2 linked regions of the Danio rerio genome follow. The protein of the gene in region 2 interacts with the protein of the main gene of each other region in a biochemical or structural test. Links are inferred from orthologs where the notes say so. Each region holds a gene or a part of one and is shown on either strand. Other genes may lie near its edges.

Region 1 (4,165 bases), on a different chromosome or scaffold from region 2:
ATCTCATATTGCATTGCTATGTTTTGTATTTTTGCTTGTCATTGTGAGTTGTGAATTTTATTCTGGATAATGTAGGCTGAATATAAACTCTTGTTAAATTGTTTAATTTATATTCACCTGTTACATTACATTACACATTATATATATATATATATATATATATATATATATATATATATATATATATATATATATTTTTTTTTTTTATTAATTAAGCGTGTATTGTAAACAAATGTATTTAATATGTTTGCATTTATATTATCTAATAAACATTGTCCTTATAATTTTACATAAACAAGGCATTAATGAATATTATAAACATGTATTTATGTGATAAACCAGGTTTTTTTTTATTGTAAGTTGTCAGACATTAGTTAAGTAAACATTATATATAATTACAGTTTAGATTTGTTTTCTCATTTAACATTTATCTGAATTTCTATATTTATCTAATTTCTCATTTTATCTAAAAAAAGAAAAGAAAAAAACAATGTTGGCTCAGACTTTTACATAACCTACAGGTCATTGAAATTTAAATACATGTTTTTTTTTCCATTAAACATGTATTATAAAAGTATTTGATTGTTGTTTTTTATTAATAGGCTAAGCTGTCAGATCAGAGCTTTACCATATTAAATATTCATCACAGGTTTTGCATTAAACATACATCTTAATAAAAAGGCATCATTCCGTTTTAATTAAATTAAAAGTCTTACATTAGACATTTTATTATTTGTGTCATCTCAGAGGTTTATGACAGTATGTAATTAAATATTAAACACAGGTATTGAATTAAACATACATTATAAACTAATTTATTTATGTTTTATCAGATCAACCTGTTACCTCAGAAGTTTACACTGACAGGAAAAAAATAAATATTAAAGGGATAGTTCATTTACCCAAAACTGAAAATTCTGTCATCATCATTACTGAAATTTCACTTGTCACAAACCTCTTCGAGTTTCCTGGGGGGATGTGCCAATGGTTCTAACATTTTTCAAAGTAAATAAAACATTTTTATATTTAAATATTTTTTTCCCATTAAACATATGCCTATTATATTTCCCAGAGATGGGTTGCGGTTGGAAGGGCATCCACTGCGTAAAAACGTGCTGCATAAGTTGGTGGTTCATTCCGCTGTGGCAACCCAGGTTAATAAAGGGACTAAGCTAAAAAGAAAATGAATGAATGAATGACGTCCATTATAAAAACATTATTTTATTGACCTTTTTATAATATGATTTTGCATAATAAAAATGCACTTTGCTTTTATGTAGGCTGTAAAAAAAACTCATTTGATATGTGTAATGTCCAAATAACCATAAAACCATAAGGGATAAGGATTTTGCTCAACATAATAATTTTAAAACTTTAAGTTTATTTAGCAGGATCACATTTTATAATTAGCCCACTTTGTTTATGAACGGAGTGAAAAATCCTTTCCATATGTTTCTGGTCCATACACTGTATGTTGTCTTGTCACCCACAGGCATCTGATGATGCACAACATACGTTCTCCTCGTGTCCTCTCTCTCTCTCTCCCTCTCTCTCTCTCTCTCTCTCTCTCTCTCTCTCTCTGAATCTTTTTTTGGTTTATTTCCTTGCCCATCTCCCCTTATACCTACGCGTCCTACCAGAATAGCGCTTACACCGCCTTACGGAGCAATCAGGTGGCACCAACTCCAACATCTCGACAGCATCATTTCAAGCCCAACATGCCATCGAGGAGGTACCGATGTACCCTCAGCTCTCTACATCGGGCTATTCTATTCAAGCCATAATAATGTGACACATCGGAGGTCAGCCTTTACCTTCAAGGGCATTTGAAAAGGCAGAGGATGAGTTTCACGCTCCCCAAAAGCGAATCGACGACCTCCTTGCTGAGATCCTCTGCACCGGCCAGGAGCGCGGTCCAGCCGCCCGATCATCGGCGACCGCAGCATCAGCGCTCCGCGGCGGCATCTGGAGCGGAGCCGGCGGACTGCGATGCGAGCTCGCGGAGACCCCTGTGTCACCCCTCACTGGTCGGTACCCGGAATAGCGCAGAGAAGAGCCACCCACAACCCTCCCACGGACACGCTCTCTCCGCGGCTCGCAGTCAGGAGGACCTGTCGGAGCTTCCAGGTGGAGAAGAGCGCAAGACAACCAGGCGACATCACCATCATCACCATCACCATCATCACCACCACAATCGTCATCATCACCATCACCGCCACCGCTCCACCCGGGACGACCTGCCCCAGGAGCCCCGACCCAAGCACTCTCACGCCGCTCGCATGCCCAGCAGAACTCAGTCTTTCTCCGAGTCTAGAGACGAGACGTCGCTCTTTTTTGAGTCTCCTCCGCCGGCTCGACCGGGCTCCTCCACGAGCAGAGAGGTGGGTCCAGCCTCCACCGCCTCATCTTCGCCGGTGCCCGCGTCCTCCAGCCGCTCCTCCCGGAGGTCAGCGAGGTCCAGCGCAGCATCTTCCGAAGCAGACTTCAACCTGCGACCCTTTCTCAGCTCAGTGTTTGGACAGGTAAGGCCCGAGCACACGCTTGGAAAATGACTTTCTTGATGGTTGTTAAATGAGTATAAACCATAAGCAGAACAAAAAGACAACTAAATAAACTTTTTGCTAATAGACATGATTTTAATAAATGTCGTCCTTATGCACATCAAGTTTCTGTCATCAAGTTATGTAGTCTGAACATGTGCTAATAACAGTTTTTGTCCTTTAATAGTTCCCATTTCATAGATTTACTATAATAAGCTGTGTTGTTTTTATGTTAATTAGCCTACCATAAGTTTAATCTCAGTTTTCTACAAGCTTACCATTGGTAGCAGATTGTTTTTTTTTTTTTTCTAATAAATATTTGATTAAAATATTACAAGATTGCTGTTACTAAAATGTTACTAAAAGTTTACTCTATGTTATATTTTTAAGGGTTTTTATGAATAAATAAAACATTATTAACATTATCTGTAATAAGTGGGTTAAAAAGTCCAAATACTGATAAATTCATCTTATGAATTGTTCAGCAGTGCATATTACTAATTTAAAAAAGTATTTATATATTAACAGTAGTAAATTTACAAAAAATCTGAATGCAAGATGGTATTTTACGTAAAAAAAAATGAATTCAAAAGTTATGACATACAAGAAAAATCAATTAATTAATTTAATTTATTAAAATTAATTTTGAACCATAACCATATTGTAAAAATTCAAACTATTAATGTGCAACAGTCAAGAGTTTTCATGTTGACTATGTTTTGGGTCTTCAATGATGTTTTTCAGTGTGTCAAGAAGAGTTTGATATAATGTACTGCATGAATAATTGAATAATTATCACACCCAAATGTGCTGAATCCTCAATGAAAGGTTTGGGGTGATTTAAAGGTTTTACATTCCAAGTGAGAAAACATACAGCTTCATTCTGTGTGTAGAAAAAATGATGTTATAAATATAGGTGTGTGTGTGTATATAGATGCCGCATTAAATTGCTTCAGACACATTGATGCATATGCCATTGAAAAAGTCATTTAGTTGTCATTCACAAGCAAAAAAAAAAATGATTTTCATGATGCCACAAGATGCATTGCACAGCCTGTTTTAAATTCCTTCCTGTTTTTTGAAAAATGGTAAAGCGAGTTGTGCCTATTAGATGGATAGATGGATAGATAGATAGATAGATAGATAGATAGATAGACAGACAGACAGACAGACAGACAGACAGACAGACAGACAGACAGACAGACAGACAGACAGACAGACAGATAGATAGATAGATAGATAGATAGATAGATAGATAGATAGATAGATAGATAGATAGATAGATAGATAGATAGATAGATAGATAGATAGATAGATTTTAACGGGACTTAACTATTGTTGGAGATACAAAGTCAGCTTGCAAGTGTTTTCAGATCAGGCTTTGCAGTTTCAATCTGGCAGACAACTTACAGCCCAAAGAAATAGCAGAGGCATCTATGTATATTTATGGTTTTATTAATCCAATTAGAGGCGAGGCAGTGGCGCAGTAGGTAGTGCTGTCGTCGCACAGCAAGAAGGTCGCTGGGTCGCTGGTTCGAACCTCGTCTCAGTTTGCATGTTCTCCCTGTCTTCGCGTGGGTTTCCTCCGGGTGCTCCGGTTTCCCCCACAGTCCAAAGACATGCGG
Region 2 (3,657 bases):
GCCTGGGTATCAGGGTTTACTTAAAAGTCTATTTAAAATCTTCCTACATAGAGACCAAAACAAAAACTTGCCGAATGACAAAAATTAAAAAAAGCAAATTAACAGTATGTTATTGTGTCCATTTTTACAACAATCTATGGTGTCCCCAGAAAGTGTGCGAAAAAAAAAAAGTTTTCATGCACGCTTTTTATATGCAAATAAGCTGCAACTCTCTTTCCAGAAGAGGGCAGTGGCTTTACAGCACATACTTCAGATACCCCAGCACAACAAACAAAACCTGAATCCATTTTTAAGCCTAGTTTACATTTTTTGTTTAGAAAATTCTGAATGATATTATATAAAATGTTTTGAATAAAATCATTACGAATAGTTACATTTCTGGATATGGCGACATCCTATTACTAACAATCAACTCAACACAGCCTAGACCAGTTGAGCATAACCTGGGTGGGAATCACCAGTGGTGTAAAGTAACTAAGTGGAGAATCAGTACTTTTACTCCACTACTTTCCTTCAATCTGCAGTCACTATTTTACTTTATCTTGTCTATGGGGATTAGAAAAATCAGTCCTGTGATTCCTGTCCAATCAAATCGCACATAGAAGGTAAATCGCATTATAATGAACAACCTCAAGACATGTTGGTGACGTATAATTGCAGCAAACCATTTGGAAGCATTAAAAGTGATTAAGAAGATGTCCGAAATCATCTTTACACACATTGACCCAGAGACTGTTTAGATGCATGTCACTGAAGAGAAGATGATGGATGTTTACTGTTGTTTACATGACGTCAGATTGACGTTGTACCCCAACATTGCACCATCGTGGGGATGTTGCATTTTGTTTGGAAATGAAAACTGGGTTGATGTCAGAATGCCGATGTCAATGTCCAACGTCCAACCTAAAATCAACCAAATATCAACGTCTAATGATGTTACAGCTTGACGTTGTGTGGACGTTACTACTATGAAGTCTATCAGATGCTGGATTTTGGTTGTCATACCTGATAAATAACTGTCAGTAACTTACATCAATATGACGTGGGGTAAGATGTTGGCTCAACGTTGGATTTTGGTCACTTTCTAACACAACCTAAAATCTACCAAATATCCACATCTAATGATGATACAGCTTGATGTTGTGTGGATGTTACCACTGTGGCGTCTACCAGATGTTGGATTTTGGTTGTTATACCTGACGAATAAATGTCAGTATTTGACGTCAATATGACGTTGGTTTAAGATGTTGGCTCAATGCTGGATTTTGGTCACTTTCCAACACAACCTAAAATCTACCAAATATTAACATCTTTTGATGTCATTTTTGAATAATGTTGTCCTTAGACGCTGGCTAGACATAGAATTTTGGTCACCTGACATCTAATCTAATCTAATATTAACATCTTATGACATAGTGTGCAGAATGTTAAGTTTAGACACATCCTCAAATTACACTGAAATGCATCAGCTTTTTACAGCATAATACTCACTGCTCACTACTCCTGAATACTTTTGAAAGGTCTACTCTTTACTCATACTTTGAGTAATATTTACAGCAGATACTTTTACTCTACTTGTAAGTAATGGCACTTTTACTTAAGTATGATTTTTTAAGGACTTTCAACCACTGGGAATTACATTCAGCAAAAGCAGCAGCAACATTCAAGATAGTTCAAACTAGTGTACAAACAAATAATAATATGACTCTTGTAAACAAAATGCTCTAATATATTAAACATAAATTTATTGTGGATTTAACAGACTATGTGAAAACTGTGGAAAATCATATACCACAAAAAGTTCTTATGTACAGATGTGATTGTATGTGTGTACCTGATGTGCAAGAATATAGATGTTGTGTCCAACATTGCGAGGCGATGCTGCATGATCCTCTCCATTCTCCTGTTCCTCATCCTCAAACTCTGCCTCCCCCTGCTGGTAGGCCATTTTCATCACCTCCACCTTAAACATGAACACAGTCAGGATTGTATAAATGCTGTTGTGACTTACCATCTGCTTACATAGTATGATTTCAGTTAGCACAATGAGTGCAACAGAATGTACAGTGATAACTCACTAGTTCTTTTGGTCTCATGTTGTACAGAATTCTTTCTGCATTCTCACTGTCATGACGGCTCTCCATGATGGCCAGCAGCAGCTTAGATGCATTATTCTGAAGAATTAAGACAAATGATGGTTCACAAGATACAATTTTAAAAAATATCTGAATATTTCAAAAACTGAATATTTAACAGATATATTAAAATAAATAAAATTAAATATTATTGAAACACAATATTTTACTGAAATAATATTATTACAAAAACATTCTAGAATTATGGAATTTAAATATTTATAATAATATTATTTGTTAATTTTAATATAGCATAAATCCTAGTTTTTGTAAAAAAAAATTGAGCAACTTTTTTCATGCAATTATTACAGATCTTCCAGAAATATCTTGAAAGCCTTAAAAAAAATTCAAAACGTCTGAAAAATTTCTGCTTTACAAGTCTTTAAAATTACACAAACTTCAGAAACTACAACTGAAAAGTATTGTTACTTTGTCAATTGAGTGTAAAATGATATACCTTTAGTTCTAGAACCAGATCCATTCTCTTCCTGCCCAGTGGATTAATATCATTCAGAATCAGTGCAATAATGATGTCGATGCCATTAGACTCATGGGTGGCAATGCAATTCTGTTGAATATGGTAAGTATGAGTGATAGAAATATGTGAAATAACTGAAAAATTGAAGTGTGAGTACATGCCTGATTGTCATGGCAGGGACCTTGACAGTATTCAGTGAGGCTCTCTACAGTCTGATTAATGAGCGCTACGTTATGCTGGTTGATGTAGAGTCCTAACAGCCCCAGGCCTCCTGTTGTGCTGCCACAGATACAGTCCAGGAACTGCAGCGTCTCACACACCAGATTATAGTTGTTTTTATTGTTCTGACAGCGCAGAAAATTCTGTGGGGAAAAGAGGAGAAATTATAGGCTGAATTTGACCATACTCAACGGTATACAACACACCCAATAATTTACTCTGTCATGTGACTGGTTTCAGGTTCCTGATGTTTAAGAAAACAAATGTGCAAGACAGTTCTCAGAGGTAATTTTACAAAATCGGTTTGAGGAGTGACTTTCTCTCAGGTGTTTGCAGATTTCTTAAAACAAAATAACAGATGTATAATGTAAAATAAAGTCAAAATTATTAGGCCTCCTGTAAATTGATTTCTTTATTTAAATATTTCCTAAATAATGTTTGTAGGAATAAAGAGCAAGGAATTTTTCACAGTATTTCCAATAATGTTTTTCTTAAGTCTTAACTGTTTTATTTTAGCTAAAATAAAAGCAGTTTTAAAACCATTTTAAGGTCGATATTATTAGCCCCCTTAAGCTATATTTTATAAATCAGTTTTTTTTTAAGAAATAAAGATTTAGTTGAGTGCAAACGTATTTAATGCACGTTTTTAGAATGTATGTGCATCTTAGTGTTTCCCTGCGAAATCCTTAAGTGCAGTTTTAAATAAATAATTGGATGAAAACAGCTAAAGACAGATTTATTGAACCATTCAAAACAGATTTAACAATTTATTAAAAACAGATTAATTCAGGAATAAAATAAAAAATAAAATGCAGTGTTACACAT

Evidence for each region.
Region 1: the proteins of itpr1a (region 2) and cabp1a form a complex in vitro, tested with the Homo sapiens proteins (2 studies listed by BioGRID). The link is inferred for Danio rerio from reciprocal best matches to the Homo sapiens genes ITPR1 and CABP1.

Annotation. Positions count from the first base shown.
Region 1 is NC_133183.1:48,381,895-48,386,059, reverse strand, and holds the start of cabp1a (calcium-binding protein 1a), read left to right. Parts: upstream 1-1,209; 5' UTR 1,210-1,841; coding exon 1,842-2,522; intron 2,523-4,165. UniProt on the Homo sapiens protein: Modulates calcium-dependent activity of inositol 1,4,5-triphosphate receptors (ITPRs). Inhibits agonist-induced intracellular calcium signaling.
Region 2 is NC_133181.1:42,526,530-42,530,186, reverse strand, and holds part of itpr1a (inositol 1,4,5-trisphosphate-gated calcium channel ITPR1), read right to left. Parts: intron 2,976-3,657; coding exon 2,775-2,975; intron 2,704-2,774; coding exon 2,593-2,703; intron 2,175-2,592; coding exon 2,079-2,174; intron 1,964-2,078; coding exon 1,835-1,963; intron 1-1,834. UniProt on the Homo sapiens protein: Inositol 1,4,5-trisphosphate-gated calcium channel that, upon inositol 1,4,5-trisphosphate binding, mediates calcium release from the endoplasmic reticulum (ER).